7 linked regions of the Oryzias latipes genome follow. The protein of the gene in region 5 interacts with the protein of the main gene of each other region in a pairwise test. Links are inferred from orthologs where the notes say so. Each region holds a gene or a part of one and is shown on either strand. Other genes may lie near its edges.

Evidence for each region.
Region 1: the proteins of wdyhv1 (region 5) and kctd1 interact in binary tests that used the Homo sapiens proteins (3 or more experiments, as listed by UniProt). The two-hybrid records come from large-scale screens. The link is inferred for Oryzias latipes from reciprocal best matches to the Homo sapiens genes NTAQ1 and KCTD1.
Region 2: the proteins of wdyhv1 (region 5) and pts interact in binary tests that used the Homo sapiens proteins (3 or more experiments, as listed by UniProt). The two-hybrid records come from large-scale screens. The link is inferred for Oryzias latipes from reciprocal best matches to the Homo sapiens genes NTAQ1 and PTS.
Region 3: the proteins of wdyhv1 (region 5) and cda interact in binary tests that used the Homo sapiens proteins (3 or more experiments, as listed by UniProt). The two-hybrid records come from large-scale screens. The link is inferred for Oryzias latipes from reciprocal best matches to the Homo sapiens genes NTAQ1 and CDA.
Region 4: the proteins of wdyhv1 (region 5) and junction plakoglobin interact in binary tests that used the Homo sapiens proteins (3 or more experiments, as listed by UniProt). The two-hybrid records come from large-scale screens. The link is inferred for Oryzias latipes from reciprocal best matches to the Homo sapiens genes NTAQ1 and JUP.
Region 6: the proteins of wdyhv1 (region 5) and nudt14 interact in binary tests that used the Homo sapiens proteins (3 or more experiments, as listed by UniProt). The two-hybrid records come from large-scale screens. The link is inferred for Oryzias latipes from reciprocal best matches to the Homo sapiens genes NTAQ1 and NUDT14.
Region 7: the proteins of wdyhv1 (region 5) and gmds interact in binary tests that used the Homo sapiens proteins (3 or more experiments, as listed by UniProt). The two-hybrid records come from large-scale screens. The link is inferred for Oryzias latipes from reciprocal best matches to the Homo sapiens genes NTAQ1 and GMDS.

Annotation. Positions count from the first base shown.
Region 1 is NC_019875.2:25,800,525-25,804,678, forward strand, and holds the start of kctd1 (BTB/POZ domain-containing protein KCTD1), read right to left. Parts: upstream 2,801-4,154; 5' UTR 1,524-2,800; coding exon 1,287-1,523; intron 701-1,286; coding exon 522-700; intron 1-521. UniProt on the Homo sapiens protein: May repress the transcriptional activity of AP-2 family members, including TFAP2A, TFAP2B and TFAP2C to various extent.
Region 2 is NC_019877.2:21,061,572-21,065,597, forward strand, and holds the start of pts (6-pyruvoyl tetrahydrobiopterin synthase), read right to left. Parts: upstream 2,801-4,026; 5' UTR 2,732-2,800; coding exon 2,643-2,731; intron 1-2,642. UniProt on the Homo sapiens protein: Involved in the biosynthesis of tetrahydrobiopterin, an essential cofactor of aromatic amino acid hydroxylases. Catalyzes the transformation of 7,8-dihydroneopterin triphosphate into 6-pyruvoyl tetrahydropterin.
Region 3 is NC_019863.2:29,307,602-29,311,769, forward strand, and holds the start of cda (cytidine deaminase), read right to left. Parts: upstream 2,801-4,168; 5' UTR 2,800-2,800; coding exon 2,541-2,799; intron 1,752-2,540; coding exon 1,640-1,751; intron 759-1,639; coding exon 701-758; intron 526-700; coding exon 385-525; 3' UTR 1-384. Other genes in the region: trypsin-like, read right to left, coding at 3,296-3,448. UniProt on the Homo sapiens protein: This enzyme scavenges exogenous and endogenous cytidine and 2'-deoxycytidine for UMP synthesis.
Region 4 is NC_019859.2:29,185,492-29,188,991, forward strand, and holds the end of junction plakoglobin, read right to left. Parts: intron 3,391-3,500; coding exon 3,230-3,390; 3' UTR 3,228-3,229; intron 876-3,227; 3' UTR 386-875; downstream 1-385. UniProt on the Homo sapiens protein: Common junctional plaque protein. The membrane-associated plaques are architectural elements in an important strategic position to influence the arrangement and function of both the cytoskeleton and the cells within the tissue.
Region 5 is NC_019869.2:4,812,114-4,816,164, forward strand, and holds the start of wdyhv1 (protein N-terminal glutamine amidohydrolase), read right to left. Parts: upstream 2,801-4,051; 5' UTR 2,754-2,800; coding exon 2,680-2,753; intron 2,383-2,679; coding exon 2,283-2,382; intron 1-2,282. UniProt on the Homo sapiens protein: Mediates the side-chain deamidation of N-terminal glutamine residues to glutamate, an important step in N-end rule pathway of protein degradation.
Region 6 is NC_019882.2:19,388,650-19,392,795, forward strand, and holds the start of nudt14 (uridine diphosphate glucose pyrophosphatase), read right to left. Parts: upstream 2,801-4,146; 5' UTR 2,552-2,800; coding exon 2,471-2,551; intron 1-2,470. UniProt on the Homo sapiens protein: Hydrolyzes UDP-glucose to glucose 1-phosphate and UMP and ADP-ribose to ribose 5-phosphate and AMP. The physiological substrate is probably UDP-glucose. Poor activity on other substrates such as ADP-glucose, CDP-glucose, GDP-glucose and GDP-mannose.
Region 7 is NC_019862.2:20,928,782-20,932,281, reverse strand, and holds part of gmds (GDP-mannose 4,6 dehydratase), read right to left. Parts: intron 2,151-3,500; coding exon 1,958-2,150; intron 838-1,957; coding exon 733-837; intron 1-732. UniProt on the Homo sapiens protein: Catalyzes the conversion of GDP-D-mannose to GDP-4-dehydro-6-deoxy-D-mannose.

The sequences.
Region 1 (4,154 bases), on a different chromosome or scaffold from region 5:
TACTTTCCTTTTTATTCTTCCAGATTCAAAGAAAGAAACAAAGGAATGAGACGCAGTGTTGGTCTGGAGAGGTCAAGGCAGCTGGTGCACGTTGCCTGAGGCAGGCTGCCATCACCCCCAGGCCTGAGCTGGGAGCGACAGTGCAGCCTCCCAGCCTCCAGATGGCTCCATGCCCTTCGGCACTTTACTGCTGCTGTGACATCTGTCAGAATAACCAAGTTGCTTTTGTCTGCGCGCTCTGCATTCTGCGGTTGCAGCTCCTACAAACAGTTTGGCCCCTAAAAATAACTGATCTTTTTATTTCATGGGGAATTGTCTTGTGACACACCTGAATGATTAGAAACCAACCTGACAACACTATCTAAAAAGTACATCAAAATTTCTTAATCACATGTGATGTGAAGAGTTGTGACATTTGACTGTTGCTTGATGACATTAAATGTTAAAGAGGTTGACATTAAACTATGAGAAAATCCTCATCAGCCAAGCGCTTCAGCCACAAAATGAAAAGACGGACTTACCTCGACTCTGGAAATTTTGTCAAGGTGGCCAGACTGCTGGTGTACATGTGCCCGCCTACATCAATGTGCACGGGGGCGTTGGACTTGGTGAGCTGTGCAGGTGCAGGGATGCCCTGGTTACTCAAGGGGGACACTGGTGACCGTGTGATCATGGGCCTGGACATGCTGGAGCGGTTATCCTAAAGACATAAAGGTATGGTTCACAGACAGGAAAGATACTGTGCTGCTTCTTCCGTGAATTAAAAAAAAAAGATGAAAACAAAAGAAAACAAATGAAAATGTAAAAATTTATATCTGCCAAGAAAGCCCAGAGTAAAAACTATATTTCCTGCAGGATGGAGCAGCCTGACCTTGACCTGGATGTTGCCACAATCCATAAGCATCTACTCCTGTGGGCCATGATCTCCGAAACCAAATTAATTTGGGGCATCAATCTCTCTTGGAGACGAGCAATAATGACTCTTGATTTGAATACCTTAATAGGATTTTTTTTGGGGGGGTAAGCTACATCATGTTAACCTACAAACACCATTAGGAGACAATTTTCGGAAGAAAACTACTGCATTCCCAAAAGTTTTAGCCCCCTACATGACTGGGATCGTGGAGAGAACTAACCCCTGACAGAGCTACGAGCTTCGACCACATATTCGACACAAATGATTGAGTTTAACAATAAAATAAAAGCTGTAGAAGGCTGTGCGCATTTGGGTTAAATGACGCAGGCGGATAATGTTTCTTTCTTTGGAAGTTCTTTGCGCTCCTTACCTGAGCCGGCATGACTGCGGTAGGAGAGGAATTCACCGAGTGGTCGTTCTGCTTCAGGGATGCTGCGGGGAGAGGCTCTCCTCTGACCGCAAACATCAGCGCGGGCTCCCTGCACTCCGCTGCCCGCATCGGCAGCCGTTTGAGGGACGCGTGCACGGACTCGTCCACAGAACTGACCGGACGCGGGCGCTTCTTCGCTTTCTGATGCGTTAAGTCCATGATATCCGTTTCCTCCATCGCGGCTCAGACGCTGATAAGAGATCGGACGAGGTCTGGGGTTGTTTCGTGAGAGATAAATAGACGCGAATAGGCGCGAGGAGCAGCGAGCGAGCACCGGGAGGAAGAGCGCCGGCGCCGTGGCTGTCACACGGAGCAGTTCCTTTGCAGTGGCGGGGAGAAGTCAAAGCCCCCGACAACATTAGCATTGTAGCGCCTGCGGCTCTTCTGGGCTGTCGCTGCTTCAGTGGCAGGTATGTGTGCCGCATTTTCGGAATAAAACGGATCCTGTCCTACAGTATAGTATGAGATGGTGGGAGTCGGACGCACATCTGGACCCTGCGCAGCTGGCCCTTTGGCCCCTTGGAACGGCGCGGTCACCCCCTCCTCTAATTTCTGCTCCCATTGTTCAGCAGCGTTTTTTTTTTTAATTCAGCCCTACTCTCAGTCAAGATTTCTAAAAAACAAACAGACCCCAAAGCTCAAACAATGATATCACTGTGTTTGACATGCTCAACTACATGGACATGAACGCACCATTTCACTCCCAACCTACTCACCTGATGCTTTCAGGAGCACAACCTTCCTCAGAAATTACAATATCCTTTGCCCCAGTACAATTTGAAATCTGCTTTGCAGTTGAAAGGGATTTAAAAATAAAGTGTATGCTTAAAAAAAACGTGTTTCAGACATCAAAATAATCTTTGTCAAATTTGTGACCCATATCCACATTTTCTTTGTCCTAATTTTGGCAGTTTTCTGAGCCTCTGGGCAAAACCGAGCCCTTCTGACACTTGCCACAACCCATGTCAGACCCCATTGGTCAAAGCTGGTACATGACAGTGAGACTAGGTTAGGCCCAGCTGTTGATTTCCGGACATAGCAGGTGAACACAACAGTCACCACCACGTGTCACATTTTGCCCAGGTTAGGCCAAAATTAGTCTTTTAGTACAAAAAGGTATACCTCAAGACATAGATCACTTTCAGTAACTTTTGTGGGTTTCTAGAAGAAGTAAGTTTAAAAATATTTTATTTTTTTCAAAGTAGTTGTGTAGAATTACACAAAAGCAGCACCTCCGGCGACTTGTGTATATGCATGAGGGTATAAAAACAGACCACAACACGTCCAACTGCACTTAAGACTACTTTCGCTGTGCTCTTCCGGGATAATTTTTCAGAAGAAAATGCAGGGAATCCACAAATTTTAATAACATTCAGATTAAAATTAATTAGTTCAACCACTGGCCTTAAAACATCCACATTTCTGCTTCTCATTGGCAGTGTTGGTTTCACACCTAGACACCCAATTAGCAATTAAGCTTGCCTTTGAGTGTAGGCCTCCAATGCAGTGTGTGATCCTGGTTTGATTTGCATGCCACTTGTGCACGCGCTGATAAGCACAGGCAGCAGCCATACATAGTTTTAAAATTCAACTCCAGAATCCCTCGCAGAAGGCAAAGGGGCCTGCAGGGCATAAGAGAGAGAAATCACATGGCTGCTCTTCAAAAGGGGACCTGTGTAAGGCAGCCGGCAAAGTGCGTGGGATCACACTCAGAATGCAGGTAATTTGTTCCCTGACTAATTTGTAGAGATGGTAGTGTGTGTGTGTGTGCGGAAGTGTGTGCCTGTGGAGAGAAAGTTCTGAAAACAGCTTGGTGGAATTGGATTTCCTCAAAGCCTTGTCATCGCAAAGGTGGATTGGGTGTAAAATCTGTCAGGCATTATGGAAAATTGCAAGAGAGAAAGAAGAGGAAGTGAGAAAGGACAGGTGGTTAGGTGGGCGTCATGTGGGTGTTGAGGGAATGATCTCTTCCATCACAACATCATTCAGAGCTGGTAGAAGTAGGAAAACATTTTCTTACGCTGGTGTCCACATCCTATAAGTGCTAACATTTGGAGAAGTCAGAACTTCAGCTGCATGTGTATGTGCAAACCCTCGCTGAAACGCCAGCAGGAGCCAGTCTGTCTGGTCTATTCCTGCTAAATTATCACCTGATCTCCTTGTTCATGTGCGGTGGCCCCGAAGTGCAAATCACTTAGCCCAAAAACATATATTAAAGATCACAATGACAGTTAAAAAAGGAAAAAAAAATGGTAACAAAACAAAAATTTCATTTCTGAAATTAGACAAGTTTTAGAAACAAAACTCAAGAGAGGGACATGGCTGCAGACAAGATGGAGTCTGACATCATCGGCCGGAAGTGGAAATTATACAATTGACCCTAATCGTAACCCCAACTGTGACCTTAACCTAAAAGAATGGTACAGGAAACTTGTATTAAAGCTTAAAACAGGAAAAGCTGTGACTGTTAGGGTTTCCAGTAAAAAAGTTTTTTTTTTTGAGAATTTTCTGCACCCAGGTCCTCTCGAGACACAAGAAACAAAATATAAATGAAATGGGGGTAAACTTGATGCAGAGAGCAGTTTATGTCTGATCGGAAGATCGCATGTTCGGTTCCGCCCATGTATAGAGGGGTCCTTGGGCAAGACACTGAACCCCATGTTGCTCCAGCTGCTTACAGGTTGGTGCCACTCTGTGAATGTGTGTGTGCATGGCTGAACTTTAGGTCTTCCAAAAAGGTATTAAAGTGCGAATGGGTCTTGAATATCAATATTTATAAAAGTTTTACGATTAGTACAGAGCAAATCC
Region 2 (4,026 bases), on a different chromosome or scaffold from region 5:
ATTTAAAGGCGAGAAAATAATAATTCCACAGGCACTGAGAAAAGCCATGATTGATCGTATCCATTCAAGTCACATGGGAATCGAAAAGAGCAAAAGCAGAGCAAGAGACATTTTGTTTTGGCCCCAAATGGGTAAACAAATCGAAGAAGCAGTTATGACATGTCACATATGCCAAGAGCGCCGCAGCTCAAACCCCAGAGAACCTTTAATGTCACATGCTATACCTGAAAGACCATGGCAAGTGATAGGGACTGACTTGTTTAGTTGGAACTCAAGAGACTACATTGTCATAGTTGACTATTTAAGCAGGTATTTTGAGTTAGAAAGACTTTACAGTTGTACCTCAGCAGCTGTAATTGCCAAACTCAAAGCAGCAATGGCAAGACACGGAATTCCAGAAATCGTCATAAGTGACAATGGACCATGCTACAGATCAAAAGAATTTAGTCAATTTGCAGAGTCATGGGGATTCACACACACCACGACCAGCCCCCACTATCCACAGAGCAACGGACTTGCAGAAAAGACAGTCCAAACTGCAAAACGCATATTGGACAAAGCAAGAGCAGAAGGAAAAGACTCATATCTAAGTTTACTTGAATACAGAAATACCCCAGTTGACAACCTTCACTCACCAGCACAGCTACACATGAGCCGCAGACTACGTTCTATACTTCCCAACACACCTGAGCAGCTGAAGCCACAAGTTACCGGTCAGGAAAGTGTGCGCTTTCAGAGAGAAGTTTGCCAGCAGCGTCAGCAGACATTCTTTAACAAATGTGCTAAACCTCTCACCCCACTATCTGCAGGTACACCCATTTCTTACCAGCAAGAAGATGGTTCCTGGAAATCAGCAACAGTCACCCAACCAGCAAATACAAACAGAAGTTATCACATCACAACTGCTGAAGGACAAACGTTAAGACGAAACAGGCGTCATCTGAGAGAGAGACACTCTGACAGCAAAGAAGTCCAGATCGCAGAAGAAGTACAGCAGCCTGACCTCAGTGTGAAGGACCCGAAGATCAATCAGCCAACAACTGCTGAATCCCAAAGCACAGAGGACACTTTGCCAAATGATCAACCGCCTGTGTATGTCACTAAGTCTGGAAGAGTTGTTAAACCTAAACAAATCTTTGATATGTAAGATGTTTAAATATTTGTCAAAGGTAAAGGAAAATGTTCTCATTATTTCATGTTACCTAGTATGGATGACAAGCAGCTAAGTTTAGTTATTATTATTATTATTTTGAGGTAAACAAAGTCTTATCAAAGTTTACATGATAATGCAGTGCATTATTATTATTTTTTTTTTAGTTTAAGGGGGATGTAATATTCTGACCACTAGGTGTCACTGTGATTTGATAAGATACCTAGTCTCGCGGGATTTTGTGGAATAGGTGTGAGATTCAAGATGGTGGAAGTAAAACAGTGAATGTGACACTTTCCCGGCCTGGATTGTGATTTATTCAATTTAAATCAAAGTTCTTTAACCAAGAACATTACATAAACAAAAACTAATCTGGTGCTTTAAGGAACAATCTGTATATTACGGCTTTCAGCAGTACGCATCACCACAGTATGCACATTAAAACCCAACTTCATTTATCTTTTGATCCATTTCAAGGCCTTCCTAGTGATTTTGTAATTATGATTATGTGGTTTTAAGGCAAAAAAAAATTAAAAATTGTCTTGTTTTGTAGGACATAGTTTCTGTAGAGCGGCAGTAGTTCATTAGAATTTTTTTAGAATTTCACTTCTGAGTTATGAGCAGGACTGTTGGCATGGGGCAACCTCTCCCCCCTTCCCATCACCCATAACTGATAGCTCTCTGTTTACGCTCTCTCCCGCTAGCTTACAGCCCCTTACAACCACAACCTACCTCAAAAAAATGGTGAGCAACCTCAGAGCTATCCGGCTGTACAGTTTTGATTCAGAAATTAGCTCAGATGAGGAAAACAAAGCCGTTCATGGATCTATTTGTCTGCAGGTGGATGCATCAGCATGGAGCAGAGCAGGAAGCTTAAGGCTTGTCTAGTGTTTTTTCTACCTCACAAATATGCTCTTTCTCCCCTGAGTCACATTGATTTGAATAAAAAATGATTAGAAATTTAATTTTGAGCTTAATTTTTTTTTTTGCACGTGTCCTCAATCATCAGAAAAATGTCACAAGAACTTGTTAAAAATACACACAAAAAATGGTCTTCATCAGAGTGGATCTTTATCAAGGTAATGCCCAAAACTAGTTAAAATCACATTTAATAGTTTGGCATTTGTGGATCCCAACTAGCCTCATGTTTTAGTTTGGAGTAGAAATTTGGCCAATAAGTTTATTGCTTTGTCAAATTGCATTGAAATGGAAGTTAAACTGGTGATGGTGGATATCAACTAAGAGTTTTAGGTCAGTGTTTGTTGGTTTGTCTTAAATGACATTTCTTTTCTTTACTGTGAGTGAGTTCTTCTCCTGTGCACATCTGGAGCTTTTATTCCCTGGAATACCGACAGTCCGTGAAGGCATCATGAAACACTAAACTACAATTCCCATGGGAAGGATGCTAACGTTTTAGCTTCAGCATTAAGCAACAGTTCTACCTGTTGAACCGTGTCGGCTTTTATTTTGAAAAACGACCGCAGCGGCTCACCTGTGCAGGCGGTGGCAGGCGCTGAAGCTCTGCAGGCGGGTGATGTAGCCGACGCGCTCCGCCGCGCTGCTGTGCAAGGACCCGGCCATGGTGGAGAGCCGCTGAAGCCGCTCCGTGAGCAGTTTAAGCCGGCTGCTGCCGCGGCGCGCGATTGGTTTAGATCAGGGCGTGGGGGCGGGTCACGTGACCGGCGTGCGTCAAGCTCGAGACGCCTCGCCTTCAGAAAACAGGGGGGGGGATTTTGGCAAATGTTATATTCATAAATGTAAATTTTCTTCATCTTCTATTTTTTCCCCCGTGTTAATCAAACAAATTGAAATGTATATCAGTAACATCTCCAAAAGTCTTAACCAGAAAGCTGTATGTTTATATGAAAGTTGTAGAAACCTTAATGTTTTTATGTAAAATGCATGTAATATGTATGCTCCCCTGGCATATCTGAAGTTCACTTTGTAAAATTGTTATCTGTAGTGTACTTCCGTTTTGTATAATAAAGTTTATTTAAAAAACAGGGGTATTTGAACTGTCCTTCTGATTAGGAAAAATACATAATCAAACTTTTAGTAGAAAGATATAACTTAATATTTCATTAAAAATAAAAATCTTTCATCATCTTAGTCCAGGGTCACACAGGGCCCATCCCAGCTACTGTAGGTCAAAGGTCAGGTACCACCATGTACAAAACATACTTTATGATATTGCAGAGAAACATACCAATTTTACTGATTATTTCATTAAAAGAAATCTCACACTGCTACCAAAAAAACACACATTTTTCTTTCAGAATAAAGACCATAAAAGCATCTTGTTTGCATATTTACTGATATGTTGTCACCCTGTTGGATCCATCAATACCGGTAATTGAATCCTGGGTTGCCAGGTTGGATGTAAGCTGCAACAAATAAAGGTTTACGGTGGAGATGATTGAAAGATTTTGAAGAAGATGCTGATTTGGAACCATCGCCCACATAAACAAAACAGTAATCAAAATTTGTTAACCAGCTAAGATTAGCTGTGTAAATTGTTAATTCATTTTCAGAATTCCATTCAGAATCACAGTGCTGCTGAAGCCTGTTGGACGAAGGCGGAATACGTCCTGGACTAGTCTATCGCAGGATCACACAAATGTTCACACTTAGCCGCAATATAGAGATATCAATGAACCTATGAAGCATGTTTTTGGAATGTGGGAGGAAACCAGAGTTCCAGTAGAAAACGCACACACACATTCATGACTAGACTAAAACAACAAACTTCACACAGAACAAACCCAGCTGGGATTCAAACCAGGGCCTTAGCCGTGAGGGGAAAGTACTAACCACCACCTCAGTGCAGCCTGACGTCTAAATGAAACTTCTGGGGGGATAAAGTTATATTTAAGGTA
Region 3 (4,168 bases), on a different chromosome or scaffold from region 5:
CTCATGCATTTAAAGTGGAAGCTTTAATAACATTTTCATTAAATATATTCTGGAAATAATTTAAACAGGAAAGACAGTTTGCAGGAAATGAACCACGCAGAGAACAGATAAATCAACGTAAAACATGAACTGTGCGTAATTATTGTTCTGTTTACATGAAATTCATTAGTAATTTGTGCGTCAATTACATAATTTTAACGTGATAAATGCCGTACACGCCATATAAATGTTGTACATGCGTGAAAAGTCTGGTAGACATACACGGAACGGTCGTGGAAAGACACAAATTTCTGTTATTAATTTAAACATGAATGAAAATTTGCTGCAACGTTTAAAACTGTTGGTAAATATTGACTTTTTGAACGCAGGTTTTTTGGAAACCATTTAGTACTCATTGGGAGTGTGAGGTATTTTCTTCTTGGACAAGTCTTCAGGGCCAAAAGAAAAGGGCAGCAGCTCCTCCACAGTCATCTTTCTGTGAGATCCGTCAGGGTGGGAGAGGTAAACATCCCAGTCCGTCCCAAACTGGAAAAAAACACAAGTAAATGTGACTCAGGAATATCTTCTTGTTCAGATGCTTCAATGTGTTTGTCAAGCTGAAGCAAATGTTTGCATTTTTTTTTTTTAAAGAATGTTTGGATCTTTTGGACGTGTTGAAGGTACAGAGCCTTCAGAATGAAGCAATATGACCCAACAGTACCTCTCTCATGAACTGTCTGCAGCCTCCACATGGGAAAACGAAGTGATCCCTCACGTCACTGCAGCAGGAAACACGAAAGCGAAGCAACTTCATAAAAAATGTCCTCAAAGCAAGTCAAAAATATAGAATTCAAGATGTTTTTCCTTGTTATAAGTGAAGAAATCTGCCAATGGAACTAAAAGAATTTGTCTTTGTGAGATTTTTTTTTAAAATAATTAGTAATATATTACACCCCTTTAAGAGTAAGTGAAATCTTGAAATCACCTATAAACACTCATATTCAGGTATACTGCTCTGGTAGTTGGTAATATGTCTTAAAATAGCCATCTTTTGATCAAAAAATAGTTTAAATTGTTATCATAGGTACATTTATTCACTTTTGCCTGCACTACAACACCACAGCTATTCTTATTTCTAAACTGCAATCATTTCAAGAGTATAATTACACATTTTAAGATAAATGTGTCGACAAATTATAATTTTGTAATTGTTTCATTTAAAAATTTTGTCCTGTTGTTGCTAAATGCATTTGTTCCACGCTATAAGTCAAATAAAACCGTCCAGTGTCTTTAAACCCTTCATTCCTAGACCATTCATCATCACAAAAACATAAACAACATATTTTAAATCAGTATTTTTGCTTAAAATAAAATGTTTTCAAGATCAAATGACGCAACAAGATATAACACAAGCTATTCCATCCTACACTTAGTTTTGTTTTATATGAAGTGTAAAAAGAGATGTTTTTGTAGAGAAATCATGCTTTGACTTTTTATTACTATACGAGCATTTGCTTCAACAGAAATGGTCACATCGCTAAGATAATTTGTTAAGGTGTGCTGAAGTGCAAAAAGAAACACAAAGAAGTTTGTAAAGTGGGCGAAAGATGCTGGTGTCTGATGGAGTGAATTTTCAAAAATGGCGGTTTCATTTTTTCACCTGGCGACTGCAATCGCCTTGAAGTTCCTGTGTCCTTCTGACACCGCCTTTGCCATGGCATTTCGCTCAGCGCACATTCCCAGGTTGTAGCATGCATTCTCCACATTGCAGCCTGTCAGAGACACGGGACAAAACAGAGTGACCAAATGCATATGTCCCAAAGAAAAAGGGGTCCTTTTCTCTGTAAAGAGGCTGCCTATTGATTTTTTTTTTCTATAGCTTAATCAAATAGTCAGTGAGCCTTTGGACCTCCAGCAGCCTTTCAAGGTTTTGTCAAGCCTTTTCATGTGTGCAGGGATTTTGACACAAAAGGAGAAAACTTTCGCTCGGACAAAAGTTGCAATTGAAACAGATTTTCATGAAGAACTTGAATCCAAAAAATTCAAATTTGGAATCTGAAAATTGCGCCATGTGGTGTTGTAATGACCAATTAGAAATGTGAACCTTCACTCTGGAGTCCAGTCATTTCCCCTGTCAGCTAATCATTAACATTGTGTGACAACTTCAATGTCAGATTGAAGTTTTATTTTTTTTCTTCTCCTAAGTTTTTCCCAAAAAGATTTGAGTCGCTATTATTTGCTTCTTCTTACACAGAGCTGAAAATGTTGCAAAAAGTACTACACTTGAAGTTTATTTTATGAAGTATACCATGTATGTGTACTTCAGACTAAATTGGTATTGTTTAAAATGTACAATAGTACATAAAAATGTAAGCTTCAAGTACCTCACCGTAGTATAGACTAAGCAAACTTGTAGTACATGTATATACTTTTTGCTGAGGGTCACCAAGCAGCCGTGAAAGCCGGATGATTCTTTGATCATCAGTTTAATCTGGTTTAGGTTTTGTTTGGCATCACAGGACATGAAATGACTGAATCAGAGAGGATGAGGTGCGACTCACCTGTGAAGACACGGTTGTCGATGGTGAGGAGAGCAGCTCCCACTCTGAACTGGCTGTAAGGACAGTACGCTTTCTTCTTCGCCTCCTGAGACTGAAAAATCAGTCTTTGAACTGTTTCTGGGGACAGGTCTCTGGAGCCTTCATCCTGGATCTTTGTGATCTTCTGTCCAGACTTGACCTCCTCCATGCTTGATGTTTGTGAGGTTGGCTTTGAGGCTGTGTGTGATACCTCTGCACTGAGTGGGTGAATGATTGTCATGCAGTTCAGCTTTAAATGTGATTTGGGCAGAGGCACGACGCCTGATCTCAGCCAATCATTTGTCAGGCCGTTAGCTGTGCTGCAGGATGAGAACGTTTTTTTCCTGTAGTTTGAAGCAGGTTTGACCCTAAATGGAATGACTTCTTTGCGTCAGGATGGATCAAAAGATGCAAAATCCGAAGGTTTAGTCTGACAAAATATGTCTCTTTATTTTCAGGATTAAAGAAAAATGTAGGTAGCAGACAGAAAAACATCAGGAGGTGAAACTTTTTAAAGTTTCAAACATCTATATAATCTAGTTTATTGATCATTTTAAAGGACCTTTAAAAGAAATATGAGGATTTTTAGAATCTAAAATAAGATACTTTTGCAGATTTAAGACAAGTTTTGAAGATTGAAGATAAATTATCTAGTAAGTTCAGGAATACAAAGTGAAAGAAAAAAACCTTTTGGGACAGTTGAAATTTTATTCAGTACTTTCTTGTGGTTTGAGGAGTTATGGGCTGCTCTGGATGACCTGGTCAATCCAGATGAGGTAGTTTCTGACCTTGGTGTAAACACCAGGGTAGGACGCATAGCCACAGCCGATGCCCCAAGAGACAATGCCTTCAAATTTACCGTTGCAGACAAGTGGGCCTCCTGAATCCCCCTGCAGAGATGTTATAATATTGGATCAAATCAAATCTAACTTTGTTTATAAAAGCACGTTTCATACTCATGTAGCACAAAGGAGCTTCACATGAAAAAACAAAAAAAAAATGAAAAGGAATAAAATACTTACAGGTGTAAACATAAATAAATAAACCTTAATTGGCAAAATTTGCTAAATCTCTAAAGTTGATAAAATTGCAAAAGAATTTAAAAAAGATCCATTCAAATAAGTAACAAAACAACAAAAGGATTCACCAAATAAATTAAACATAAAATAATTGTATTGCTAAATTCCCGTTAAAAGCCAGATTAAAACTCGAGTCATCCTCTAAACACATGAGCAGTCTGTGTGGTCCTGAGGCTCTCTGGGAAACCGTTCCACAGGCGGGGTTCATAGAAACTCGCCATAAGTTATGGTTCTCAATGGAATGTCCGATTCCTTTGAGTATGTTAACACAGCAGAGGTTTCTCCTTCCAAACTCACTGGTTTCCATGCACAGCTTCAATCAATTTAGCTAATTGGACAAAATAAAACAAATTGGTTGATTAAAAAGTATTATTTTTTCGTGTGATAGGAATACACACATTTGTTTTGGTATTTAAAAGTGTGTGTGTCGCATTGTGTTGTACATTTGTCAAGCGAACAAAAACCACTTTTATTTCAATGCCTGTGCTTTTGCTCCTGAAAGTGTTTTTCAGTTCAGGAAGTTCTTAAATT
Region 4 (3,500 bases), on a different chromosome or scaffold from region 5:
TAGAGCAGCATGAAGGGCTGTGGCTACGGCGTCCACTGTGGATCCGTTTCCTCTCAAAGCGAACTGACAGGTCAAAGCTTTGGGTCAGGAGTGATGTGATAAGACTCCAAGTTATTTTAAATACATTTTTCCACTACTGGTGTGAGCGCCACTGGTCGGTAGTCACTTAAGGTGGAAATGCGTCTTCCTGGGCACGAGGACTGTGATGGAGGATTGGAGACATTGCAGGATCCAGAGCTGGAATGAAGAGAAGCTCGAGATCCTTTCCAACGTTTTCTGCAGCTTGAGGTGAAGAAGGATCTAAAACAAGTTTAGTCTTTGTAGGTTATAAGGAATAAAAATGTATTTGAAATGACGCAAAGTCAAGAATCAAAGAGACACCAAAGCAGTTTGATATAATCTTTATTTTATAAACAGATTTTCAGTAAAAACTCTGAAGTACAAAGACTAAGTTCCCTGTCAGTAGTTCGCTCCAGACTAACGTCTCATGAGTTCACGCATCCATCGGCTGCCCTTCTTCTGAAGCAGTGGCCACGCCCCCCAGAGCCACGCGAATGGCGGCGGCGTGGAGCATGCAGAGTTTTTAACTGTTATTTTTTTGTTTCTCATAAAAAAGGAAGCTACATGATTATCATAACAAAATAAAATCTCTTTGGCGTCGAACACCCACCCAGAAGCAGAAACACACACACAGCTGAAGCCTCAGCGCCTGAACTAGAATCAGTAAAATTAGTCTATAAAACACAAGTTCAGCCCTGTTAAGATTATGAGTCCCATATTCTGTAATAATTGCATATTTTACATCATGTGGGGGGGCACAGGGAACACTCCACTCCTTCCTGTTCTCCTCCTGGTCTCAGCTCCTCCTCCATCCTCTGAAACGACACAAAAACACTTGTTAGTTGGCTTCTTCTTCCTGGATGCCTCACGTCTCCATGGAAACAAGGATGCGGGTGGAGTCCGACTTTTTCTTTCCACAGCCTCATTTTTTTTCTGTTCAGTACCCTTTTATTTAATCTGTTGGTCACATTTCTGCACCCCTGAAGCTGGATTATTGAAATAATCTGGCTCGAGTTATTTTGCCCTTCCAGACGTCCTCAGCTGTGAGCTGGACTCACTCATCAGACTCCAGGACTCCACCTGCTGCTCTGTCCTCCTTTGTTGGGAGAAACGCTTTGGTTTCTTGGGTTCTGGGGGGGTGGGGGGTGGTTGGTCGCTTTATCTTGGATCACAAAGTGCTGCCGCTGAAAAAAAGAGAGCTGTGCAGCAACGGCTCGTCAACTCGCATCAGGTTCAACAGCCAGAGAGCCCCGTTACGTAACAGAAGGAAACGGAGCAGTGCTCCCCCTAGAGGACGGCAGTGGGATTACCGTCCACCACGGAGTGAAGAATGTTCTGCTCCTCTTCCTCCTGCATGCTGTGAAGCTTTTCTTTCTTGCATTTAGACTTTTTGAGTTTTCAGGATGGTTGATGTTCAGAGGAAAAGCTTTGAGGTGAAGAACGACGGCAAAAAACCAGCAGTGACTGTGAATCGATCACACTTTTTGAGCACTTTTAAAATGTTTTTCAGCTCATTTGTTTGTTTTTTTAAGCCCATCTTGAAATGAATTTGTCGGCTCTAGGGTTTTTCCACCATCTTTTGGAAAAGAGCTGCAGAAAAGGACACAGCCTCCGAGTGTCCTTAACCTTTCTCTGTCCTTCAGGTTCAGGATTAAAAATTCGTCTTTTTATGAATCTCAAAGCCAATAAACAGCTGTGGTGCAGAGGTAGAGCGGTCGACCTCTGATTAGAAGATCGCAGGTCTGGTTACTTCCCCGTGCACCCGTGTGTGGAAGTGTCCTTGAAAACAAGACGCTGAAGCCCTCCTGTCTCCTGGTGGACATAGCTTGGCGCCAGTGTTCAGCATCCGTGTGGGAAGAAGCACTTTGGGCCTTCTGAGCATGTTTGTATGTTACAAACGTGGACGAGGAGCCTGTGAGCACAGGGCTGTTACCATAGGAACACAAAGAGGGGCAAAGCAGTACAATGAGATTTGTTGGTGGGGCCCTCCAGCCCCCCCCCTTTTTTGTGCAGATGTGAAAGACTGAAGCGGATCTTCTGCTCAGAGTCGCTGCTGATGAAACAAATCAGGGAATGTAAAGTTTTATAGAACGTTAGAACCCCCCCCCCCCCGTTGGTCGGATCGTTTTAATTTACTGACTGCTGTGAGCGCTCAGGTCAAGAGAAAGCGCTCCATCAGCAGCAACAGGCTTTCACAGCTGCGACTGCATTCACCCGTCGCCATGGCGACCCCTTCTGCCACAGAGGCTTTTTTTTTTTTTTTTAGAGCCTCAGACCTCAAACCCAGGAAACTTTTTCTGTTCTAAAGAATCCATAAAACAACTGTTCGGGTCCTCTGAAGTGGGCGGAGCTTTACCAAAACCACCTTCAAGATTTAGATTCACCAGAAGAGAGACGCTCAGGATGCTCCTTTATTACGGGACAAATAAAGGGGAAGTCCTCCACCCCGACAGTCAAACATGGTGGTGGGAACATCCTGCTTTAGGGTTGTTGTTTTTTTCAGCCAAGAACCTCATCACAACATGATCAGGATTCTGTGGAGAAGCTAAGGATCAGGGTGAGGAGACCCTCCAACCCAAACCTACAGACGAGAGACAGCGAGCGGATCAGAGTTCAGGAAGACTTTGATCTCTGGACTTTTTTTTTTGTGGAGGGTTTTAATAACTCTGGACAATGATTCCTCTGGGGCTTCAAATTCTGACATTGCCAGTTGAGAAAACACTTGGTAGAAAAAACATAACCGAGGTGAAACCTAAATATCCATCTTTGTTGAACCTTCATGTTCCTCTTAGAGAGTCGATCCATCAACCACACTTCCTGTGGACGTCCATCTGTGAGGCTCACGGCTGGTTTTGGTTTCCACTGATAAGAAGAGGAAAACGTTTGACAGACCTGCCCGGTATAAACCAAACAGACCGTCACGGATGCTCTAAGCTACTGTTCTGTAGGCATGACAACGAGGAACTCAGGGGTTGTGCAGTGGTGGGAGTAGCTTAGTAAGGGATTACCATAATCAGCAAATCAGAATCATCTGTAAAGTATTACAGCTCAAACGAAGAACCTGAAGATCTGGAACCACAATGTTCTGCAAGAACAAACCCGTCTGAACGTTTCCAAAAGTCAGTGACTGTTAATAACCCCCCCAAAACAAGTGGAACAGCTCTGACCATTAATATTGATCTGGGTATTGTCCCTCGTAGTAGCCTGGTTGGTATTCGTCGGGCATCATGCCATTCATGATTTCCACGCCCATGCCCATGCCCATGTCGTCCATGCCGTCCTGGTCAGCCGGGTATCCAGCAAACCCCCCCTGGAAGCCGGCGTCGAGCTCTGGAACACAAACAGGGTAAAAGCACCGATGAGCAGAGCGTGATGAAGGTCGCTGCAAACGTTTCAGGAAAACGGACTTTTGTTTAGCGCCAGTGTTGGTGTTCCTGGAT
Region 5 (4,051 bases):
ACCTCAAAACAGATTAAGCAGATTTAGAAAATTTATGGATAAATGACAGTGTGATGGCTTTTTTGTACATTTGGGTTTTCTCTCTCTATTTTCTTTTATATTTTCTGCTGGAGTGGGAGGTTTTCTGTCTTCCTTCTCCTCTGCCAGCTTTGATTGCACATTTGTGCCTAATTGTCCAGAGCACCAGACTGGGCAAGGATCTCCAGGGCAGAACATACATACAGGCTTTGTTCTTTGTACAGTATTTTCCACACTACAGGGCTCACCGGATTATCAAGCACAACATCAATGAATGGTCTATTTTGAGCATATGTCACATATAGAGCACACCGAACTACAAGGCAGATTAAGTGAGATTAAAGAGTCAGAGAAATGTCCGTCAGTCAGTCACGTTACTTTGCTTGCAGCACGTGGACAAAACAGACTGATAGCGCTAAAACAAACGTTACCGTGACTACGCTATCACACAACCTTTTTGGTAACCAAAAAAACAGTCCAACATCGCCACACATTAGCCGCGTGAGGGTATTCACAATAACACCCAACCTTGTTTGCAGCATAACTAATTAATAGATAGGGTGATCATGATTTTAAGACAAACTGTTGCTTTTTAAATAAAAAAATTAAGGGTTTTAAGTGTGCTTTATACTGCAAATATACAGTAATTTGGTTGTTTTTTTATTAAATAGTATTTCTTTTTCCTAAAATGGGGTGTAACATAAATTGGGGGCTTGTCCGGGATTTCTTTGGTTTTTGTAATGTACTGTGTGTAGTGGCCAGTTTTAGGGATTGCCTATTTGTTTGATGAACTTCTTTGTTTGGTTTGATTGACCGTTTTAGTGAGACGCTTTCACAACATTTGAGCGTTATATATTGGGTGCTCCCAAATTCGAAGTCTGCGTCCTTCAATGGCCGCAGTCTTCCCTGGCGATGTTACTCGGGTCCTTTGTTGAGCGGGTAGGTCAGATGTTAATGGCTGTGAATTTGGACGAGTCTAGCCTTTAGATAATTCCAGCCATTACATCAGTGAATGTCCTGTTGCCTAGCAACCGTGAGTCCCGAACAGGGAGGAGGAGTGAACCAGGCATGGAGCCATTGTTGTCAGAAAATATCCGGGTTCTACTGCTATGCATCTTGGGATATGGACAGCATAGAAGGGTACACCAGAGCAATCCTTGAAATCGGGTAAAAAGAAGGCTGTATTCGGTGGCCATATTTAAAGGACTTGTTGAATTTGGACAACATGTTACGTAAGCAGCCTTCAGATGCAGCCCAGGAAGAACACAGCCCTCCAATTTGGACACAATTAATGGAGTACAGTAAACCCTTGTTTTTCGCGGGGGTTACGTTCCAAAAAGAACCCGTGATAGGCAAAATCCGTGAAGTAGAAACCTTTTTTTTTAACAATTATTATACAATTAAATTCTCTATTATACATTGAAAAGAAAGAACAAACCGTTTTACAGGCTAAGGAATTGTTTCACAAATAAAAGTACTTTAGAAAAGGTTTTTCAACAAATATCTTCTGTATTGTACTGTCAAATAAGAATTTTAATCATCAATGTGAACAGAAGGCTTCAAATCGCGGAGATTAGCCCCGCCCACCGCGACCCGAGTATTTGGATTAAACGGGAAGATATTTAAAATGATTTTTAAAAAAATACAAAGTACGGTCAGACAAATAGTGACTCAGGTGTAATTCACTGCTCTTGAGCCGCTGCATCCTGACTCCGCTCTGCAGTCTCCCTTTGAAGCCCGCGGTGCAGCTGTGTTTGTTCGGGAGAAGAACATAGTGATAGGCAGTTGTTGTTGTCGCTCCTTTTTTTCATGGGTTATAGAGAAACTCGAAATTGCAAGATGATTTGCACGTATCTGTTGTAAATTTGGCACGCTGATTTACGTACGTGTACATATTAAACTGCAATGTTATTGACGCACAGGTAGAGAAGTGAAGTGACTTTTTAGCCAATCAGAATGCAGAACACAATGCACGATGCAAATCCGTGAAGTAGCGAAACCGTGAAAAGTAAACCGTGTTATAGCGAGGGATCACTGTAGCTGTATTTTGAAACTACCAGATGTTTTGCAAAAAGGATTTTTCTTTTTACAGAGAAGGCCTGTTATTTACTTTCAAATATTTCTTGAGACCACCTGAACCCTTGAGGGCTCGGTGCCCATCATTCTCAGTATGAGGTACTTTTTGAAATATTATTTTTAAAGCAAACATTTTGTTTATTCGATTGTCTTGTTAAGCCGTTTAAAATGTTTCCAGATCTTCTTACCGTTCTGGTGTCGTTAGAGATGAAAATTACAGCAAACTGGTCCAGTGGAACCATTTTCTGTGCTTGAATAAACTCACAGAGCTTCCAAACATTTTCCTCACTGAGAAAGTAAAGGAAAGCAGCATTAGCCACTCATTCACTTGATTAAAATGAACTATATTTCCCTGAAAATTCATTCAATCATTAATTAGACAGATGGCATTGAAATAACTCATTCACTATAACAGTTTTAAAAATGGGTATAACATTTAACAATGTAAACTGTGAATATCGATTAGCCGAGCGGATCCGCTTAGCATTTTGATGTTTTTCTTGACAATAAATGATTTATTGACACAAAACTAAAGACTGCAGGACAGTGGGCTGCTTTTCTGATTTGTTAAAACTTGGTTTTTACCAATAACAGCTGGTATAAACGCAGTTTTCCCGGCTTGGTATTACTTCCACACCTTTCTTTAACTGACCCTTCATGTCTGTAAGCTAACCGGAAAGAACCTCACCGAAAATACAGTACGTCACATCCGTCCTTTCAAACTAAAAGCCCATTCCTGTAGCGTTGATTTCACCAACTTTTTATTTTATTTTATTCTTATTGAACTTCAAAGGATGACACGTACACATTCACATAACTACAATAGAAAGATATAAAAAGAAAAAAGAATACAATACAAAGAAAAAATAAATAAATAACATTAGAATTGTAGCTCACACTAGGTATGGTCATACAACATGTGATCTTCAATGAAAATTGACAGTTTTATTGCATTTCTGTTTTTCTTGAATTCCAAGGATTTAAAATGTAAACAGATCTCTTTATGAAATGTATTGAATAATGATTTGATTTTAAAAAAATCTGCTCTCATTGATGAAGAATTTCCCAGAATTTAATAAAGTATCAAATGCCAAATCAAATAAATTATCACCAGAAAGTACTCACAACTGTAACGGAATAGAAATAGGAAAAGGAAACTTTGAGGAGCACCAACAAACACAATACTCCCAAAAACTGGTAACATATGTACATTCAAAAAACAGATGATCAAGTGATTTTATATTTATTAACAGTTATTTTCTTGAAAACCAAAACGTAAATGTAGCAGTTCCTTGCATGGGTATACTGCATTCATTGTTTAAAATGGGTTTCTTTGTATTTTGGAAAAATTGGGTTTTTAAAAAACTTTTTTGTGTAATGCTGGGACATAGAATGAGTTTTGTAGAATGTTGGAAACAGTTCTCCAACAAACAAAGAACGTATTACATAAGTTTGGAAGTTTTGAATTAACCAGTCGACAATCAAACAACAAAGATGGAAGCAGGAATTTTGCAGTCTTTGATTTTGGAAATGAATCTTTTTGAATTGAGTGGCAACTCAAACACCTCATCTAACACAGTATGTTAGGGAAGTTAGGGTCATGCTGCTGAAGGAAGCGACACACTGGAAGGTACTAAAAAAAGTGAGAGTGAGGCAGACAAAATTTGGAAGCAAGATCATTGAAGCTTGCAAATATACCGCTTAGGTACATGTCCTTAAAGTTGATTATACTGTACCTTAATCACTTCCCAAATCATGAATACGAAGTCTGTCTGACCAGGGAGAAAAAGGTGATTTTTGTGTATAGGACTAGTGGTAAGCACTTGAGTGAGTCCATACGTCTGTCTGAATTGAAACATAATTTTAAAGGTATTGGTAACTACTGGATTGTGTGTAATATAGTGTGAAATGACACAGGGGAGACTAGATCCAATTAGGGCTGTCAGAGTTTTTGTAT
Region 6 (4,146 bases), on a different chromosome or scaffold from region 5:
CCCTAGGTGTGAGTGTGAGAGTGAATGGGTGTGTGTTTGTGGACATTCTACCCTGCGACAGACTGGCGAACTGTCCAGGTTGTCCCCTGCCTTCGCCCACAAGTGGACGGGATAGGCTCCGGCAGCCCCGTGACCCCGAAAGGGAAAAACGGTTAAGAAAATGAATGAATTTTCAATCAGAGATGAAACGTTTTTGTTCAGATTCCATAATATTTCTTTCTCTGGGGAGGTGGATTGCCAAATCCCGCCACGCATCCATTCCTGGTCCGGCCCTTCTATCAAATTTTAGAACCCTTTGTGGCCCACGAGTCAAAAGGTTTGCCCACCCCTGCATTAGGCGCTGAATTGACACCATAGGGCTGGTGCTCAGATCGCAGGATTTTAGAGGAAACTCAGAAATGCGGATCAAAATACCGCTTTGGTGTTGCTTATAGTGAGGAACTAACATAAGAACACACTCAAAAGCTGAGAAAGAGTTGATTTTGCATTATATAGGTCCTTCAAATGTGTTTATAACTGAAAATGCTACAAGGACATGTTAAAAACACAATTTTCTTTGGAGTGTGTCTTTAGAGTAAAAATAAATATTACTACAAATGCAGAACAGCTTTAAATCCAATAACTAAATAAAACTAAAATATGCAGGATCATTTAGCTATGGCAGTTAAATTAACGTCTTTACATGACAAATAAACACTGGTAAGAGTCAAAAAGCTATATTTAAATTACGCTGTATTGTTTTAGTGATAATGTTATTAATGCATTTCATCACTAAAGTGTTTATTTCTACATTTATACATTTAAAAATCCCCATAGCTGATTTGGTTTCCATGGTGAGACGCAGGAGACACATTTTAAATAAATGATGGAGCTGCAGCTAAAAGTCGTCCTGTGGATGTATGCATCAAATAAATTAATCAAAATGGGCTAAAGTGGTTTTACCAAACTAAAAGATGACAGATATTCCTGACTGTTTGGGAAGTTTGTGTGTGCATCTTTAATATGCATTTAAATGTATTTGTTCTCTGTGTCTTTCTTTAGTTTGGGACTAAATTGTGTCTCAAAGATTCCTTTTTGGTTTTATTATTATGGCTGACCAAAATGAATTTAAAAGAAAAGTTGGAATTAGCTAGATTTTTTGGTATTTTTGTTTTTCAAAGACAAACCTTAGTAATAAATCTTGAAATGGTAAAAAGTCTGAGTGTTTCGTCACCTTTAAAGACCCACTATGATGAAAAATGGTGTTTTTGGAGTTTTGATCATTTCCTTTTAACATTTTTCTGATGATGTAGGACATGTATTTAAAAAATTGCATTTCCGAGTATTTCCTCATTCTGTGAATTAGGAGCAGACGGGAAAAAAGCAGTTTGAAAAAGCTTGTAGCAGTGATTACGGTCAGTGATCTACAAGCTTCCTGCTCTGCTCCATTCTGATCATCCACTGTCAGACCAATAGATCCCTGAACGTTTTTGTTTTCCTCGTCTGAGCTGGAATCTGGATCTAAACTGTATGGCTGGATAGCTCTGATATTAGTTTTATTAAACCACTAATGTTGTGTTGGAGCTGTGAGGGGCTGTAAGCTAGTGGGGGAGCATGTAATCAAAGGGATCATAGGAAATGAGGTGAAGCTTACTCCGCACCAGCAGTCCTAACCACAACTGATTTTCTGATGAACCCTTGCCGCTCTGCAGAAACTATGTCCTAGAAAATGACAGGTTTTTGGCCGAAATGGCATCGTCATAAATAAAAGACCACTTTGAAAGTAAACCACCAACAGATTTCAGACGTTTTTCATGTGACCCACATTTTCCCTCATTCCACAAAAGCATGTTCTTTACAAGCATGGCCTTATTTAAAAATGATTTCCTAACGTTTATCTAAAATATATTTTATATTAGTAAGTGTATTTTAAATATGTATAATAACTACAAGAAAAATGGTACCAAAAACCCAATTTAGTCACTTTTAAGTGTAAAGTTTACATGTGTTTTTGCAGCTTGTGCTGAAAGCAGAACATCAATGTCAACAAACACATCACTAATGATGGGAAGGTGAACCGTAAAGCTGATGTTTCAGGCGGGTTTCAGCTGTTGACGCTCTGGACCTGAACCGGGGAGAGCCTTTCTGTCCCTCGAAGGGCGCCAGAGTCCCACAGAGGTCTTCAAACTGAAGCAAAGCGGCTAGAAGAACCTACATCCTAGCATCTCTTCTGCTAGCTTAGCTTCGCGCCCTACAGTTCCCACAGACGCACGCGCCGCCGCTGAGCCGCCGCGAGGCCCACCCCGCCGTCAGCAGCCGGCTCTCCTCTGCATGGCGCGAGCCACGCAGGTCGCCGCTGTGGACGTCCGTGTTTAAGGTCAGCCCAGCCTCCACGACAGGAAGCTAACAGCACCATGGACGAGGGAGGGGGGTGTGAGGGGGTTGCTAGCTTCCAGCTTTCAGCAGATGTGTGACCTCGCGGACAGCTCACCTGGTTGTAATGGACCCGGAACGGCTTCAGGTAGTCGGACTGTGTGCACGGAACCACTTCGACGTTGTTGATCTCTTCCATAGTTTCCAGCTCGAACTCGACCGGAGGCTCGGAGATGCTCGTCTGTCCCCACACACTGGAGCGACGTCTACGGAAGCCGAGAGGCGACCTGACAAACAGACGCGACAACAGGAATTCAGGGAGGCTGAAACCAACAAACAAAAACTTAAAATGAAAGATCTAAACAACTACATTGAGAAACAAGATAGTTTGTATGCGCCAACATCTATTATAACCTGATTAAAAATAGTGCAAAAACATCTAAAAATAATATTCAATAAACTTCAGCTGCTGAACAATCCGAGTGATTAATGGATAACTGCTATGTATTTTTCTGGTATTTCATACTGTAAAATACACAACAAATATGCATACAGTTAATATTGTGAATTTATTTTACATTTAGTAGACATTTTCATTCAAAGTAACTTGTAGATTTCTGAAATCTGAAGACATAGTGGGATTATCCACTTCATGCCTGACTTTATTGCCATCCATCCATCTTCAGACCTCGTTGAACACCATTCAGGGTCATAAGGTTGCTGGAGCCTATCCCAGCTACTGTTGGGTGAAGGTGGGGTACACACCAGACCGACCGCCAGTCTGTTACAGGGCCAAACAATCACATGCAGACTTAGGGACAACTGAGAATCATCCATCAACCTATGAAGCATGCTTTTTGACTGTGGGAAGGAGCCAGAGTGCCTGGAGAAAACCCACACGTGTGCAAAATCCACACAAAAAGAAACCCAGCCAGGATTTGAGCCAGGACCTTCTCACCCACTGCTTAACATGAGAGTAAAAAGAAAAAGTTTTACTCTATTTACTATATAACCCACCCCCCACCCCTAAATTCCCTCCCTTGATGATTCAAATTTGACCAACATTTCCACAAGTCAGGAGAAGAATCGAGTCAAGTGATTCTGGAAAACGAAATAAACAAAGAAATGTGTTTGTTTTTTTAAACTTGTCCTGTCCAACAGCTAGGCAGGCAGATGAGAGCTGAGGGCCTCTTGTGTTGGACATATTTTACTTTAACAACAGGGGTTATGAATCTTCAGACAAACCAAAGGCATGACTGAATAACCAGGTTACTGAACCTTTTGTAATTGAGGCCAAACTTTATTAATTTCAACCATGTTTGAAAATCTTTGGTGTTGGACCAGACGGAAAAGGAAAGGAGGGAAGAAGAGAGAGGGACGTTAGAGAGGGGGGGGTGATAGTGGGAGGGGGGGATAAGACCATGAAGCAGCATAGAGCAGACAAGTTTACTGGTTGTTTATCATTACGGCAAGGCTCAAATGTAGTACTAAAAGGGCGGGGCCTGTCCACACACACACTCAAATGTTATCAACACACCTGCTAGCTGCAAAAAATGTTCACATGTCAACATGTACACAAAACAGATAGTGTTCACGAACGCATACTTATGCCTTAAAACCAACTAGTGTGAAATATTTCATTCATTCAATCATGCAAACTATTAGTGCAAAGGTGAGCTAACACCTGTGCTCAGGTGAGTGTTTATGTTCTTCTAAAATGGAGGGTGGAATGTGAAAAGAAGGAGGAGGAGCGCCCAGCCACCCCCACACCCAGACCCCCGCCGCAGCAGCAGC
Region 7 (3,500 bases), on a different chromosome or scaffold from region 5:
GATCAGTGACAAAAAACTTGTTTTGCCCTGCTGTTTGTGCAGTGGTCCATCGTTTATTACAAGAGTTCTGTTCTAAAAATAACCCACAGCAGACGAAATCAGTGAGTTACTTTTCTTTTTTTTTACAATTATTATAAGGCTGTAAAACCCAGCACTACACACTTAATTCATTTTTCTCAGACATTAACATTTTCCCACTTTCCTCACTTGTTTAAACTCTAAGTTCAAACCTTCGTGGAAAAGTAAGTCAGGCGTTAGAATATAAAACCAAAGATCATCTTTGCAAGCACAATGCCTTCTGTACTGTAATGACCACGAAGGGACATTGATTGACAATGGTGTAGAGCCAATCAGCACAGTGTGCTGTATAAATAAAAATAAAAATAATTTTACCAAATTGCACCAAAAAAATCTGCGAGACTGTAAAAGGTGAACCGCAGTATAATAAATGACCAATGTAATAGAATTCAATGTTCCAGGGGATTTAAAGTGGCCTCTGGATTTCATTTAAATTGTCTTTCAACAGGAATCCTTCTTAAGACCAACATTCATAAAAACGTTTGTAAAAGCCTTACACATATCCAGCATTACAAAGAGATGCATCATATCAGCTTAAAAAATGTTCAGTTATTTCACCAGAATGTTACAGAACACATTTTTTAATGATTATTATTACTGAACACCAAACTGAATTTCATGATTTCCTGAGGTTATGTCAGGGTTCACACTCACCTCTCCGCGGGCTCTCATGGTTAAAGAGGATCCCGTTGACAGCAAACATGTTGTAAGCTTCTCGGAAGTTCACCACAATCCAGTAGGCATAAAGCTTAGCAGCTCCTGAGAAAAGAAGAACAGAAGACGTGCTTTACACCTAAAACCACCTTTATACAACTTTCTCTTTGCAGCCCAACTTCACAACCTCAGGAAGGTTTAGACACAAAGTCAATGCCGCAGATCGTTAAAAGTATTTCAATCAAGTTCATAAAAAAGGCTAATGTTTTATATTACTTATTAATAATAATAATAATAATAAAGGCATTTTGAGTTACTTTAAATGGATCTGATGATCTGCATACTGAAACAAAACTTAGTAAAGTTAATTTCAGCTCCATTGTTGCAGCTTGGAAAACAAAGTCATAGTAAAAAGGATTGAATTTACAGTTTTAATCTGAGGAGGGAGAAGAAAACAGTCCACAAAGAAGAGAAAGATTAAGGCTTCTAACTATGCTGCATGCCAGGGTTGAGCACAGCTTCTCTGCAGATCATCTTTCCCTGTCAGGAGCATAAACCACAGACTCCTGCTGATTGACCAAAAGCAGGCCTGGGCAAAAAGTTCTCCTCTCTTTCCCTTTCACCATCCTCCTCCTCCATCTTTCTATGTAACGAGGGGAATACCAAAGCAAATGAAGGGAGGTGCTGTTGATTAAGCTGTAGGTCAAGATGTACATTGGAGGTGAAGGGAGGCTGCCATGGTGACCACCCCCCCCTTCACCCTCATAAGGCTAATTAATGGAGGAGCAGTCCTGTTCGAAACGCCCATGCAGCATCAGATTGAGTGCTGACAGATGAGGAAAGTGTCAGTGAGGAGAGCATTTAGACAAGAGAGAACATGAAACCTGAGCTTGGACACACGTGCACGGCCTGTCTGCGTGTGTGTGTGTGTGCATGCGCGCGTTGTGTCAAAAGTGAGTGCTGAGTGCCGTGGATATAAAGGTGTCTTTGTTAAAATGAGAGCCACTCCAGTTCTCAATCAGATGTTTGGCCTCAGGGTGTGGAGAACGCACACACACACTGCACCTCCTTCACTTACTCACATGGACACGTAGACACACACATTCATGAAAGCAAAGGAGAAAGTGCTGTAGACGCATCAATGCAAGTCCCTGACAAATGCTGAAAAGTTGAAGTTAGGCGATCCTTGTTTTATCGCCTATGCATTTAGCACTCTTGGTATTACCATAAGGTGAGCGCGGGTAGAAGGGAGTGGTTTCTTTTTGGGGAATCTCCTGCACTTTGCCGTACAGCTCGCTTGTAGAGGCTTGGTAGAATTTGACGCTGTTGGTCAAACCACATGTCTTAATGGCATCCAGGAGGCGCAGTGTGCCCACACCGTCCACATTGGCGGTGTACTCTGCCAGATCAAAGGAGATCTGAGGGAGAAACGGACACAAAAAAAGGAGACACAATGTTGTCATTATAGGAGTTTAGAGCAAAATCTCTGAATATTGTTTAACTCTGGTAAAAATTTGAAGCTTAAGGAAAGAGAAGTGATGAAACTAACATGAAATGATGAGCAAAATACCTTTGTCTTAAGTAAGAATTGAACTGAATATAAAATTAAGTACATTTTATTGTGTGGAAAAGTCAAAAAAAAAAATCACAGTTTCACTCAATAAATGTAGTCATACATGTTCAAAGTCTTCAGTATTCATGTATCACTTTGTGTGAATTTGGCACCAAAATTACAAGAGGAAATTACATGCCAAATAACTAAACAGCGTTAAATCAGAAATTTTTAATTGTTTCTGTTATTGATTACCATCTTTCTTTTTTCTTTTCTGCTTGTTAAAACTTGTCAACACATTTTTTTTTAAAGATTTTAATATAAGCCTAATTCCATCTGAAGATAGATGCATTTTAAACAGTAAACAAACTACTACTGGATTTTTATTCAAGAAAATGACTCAAGGACATTTTTTTCTTTTCAAATGAAATACAGTTTAGAATATTTCCTCTTCCCTAGAAAAAAGCGCATTTCTCTTTGTCTCCCTGTCCAACTCCTCGTCATTTTGACTTGCATTTTTTTTAGGTAGCTAATTTTAACTTTCTCAGTATGCTGTCCAATGGTGTATTAAAAAATGTACTTGTCATATTGTCAAACTACTCACTTATACCCTTATACCTCATTGTGTATGTCTGCAGAGTCACAACAGTTTGCCTGTAAAATCATGTCAACCCTAAAAAGAGGGAAATCGTTGTTTTTTACCAGTTATAAAGTTTGACTCCTTGCCTGAAGGAAGCAGCAAAGACTATAAATAGGTTAACTTGATCCTTTTATGTCATTTTTAAATTCTTTCCATACTTCACACAATATACTCCAACTCCCAGAATCCCTATTTCTAGTATGAAAAAGAGAGGATGGGGACTAAAAAGGCTAGAGGGGAGAGGGGGATTGAGTTTAAATTAGAAATGGATGTGCGCATGCATGACCGTGTGTACCAGACACTGTGTACTTGTGCACGTGCCAAGTTGGCCCCAGGCTCCAAATCAGGCGTGACAGTTAAAAGCCTTGCTGGTTAGTGGTCACCACACCTGGAGCGAGCGGCATGGGCCACGTCTGAACTGAGGAAACACGCCGACCCTTTAGTGCTTTCACATCAGCCCTGCGCACACGGCCAGATAAAGACTCCTTATTTAAAGCTGGGACCTGAGAACACTGGGCCTCTATTCCACTCACAGTGAATCCACACTCAGGCGCACACAAAGCAAGCAGTTTTAAT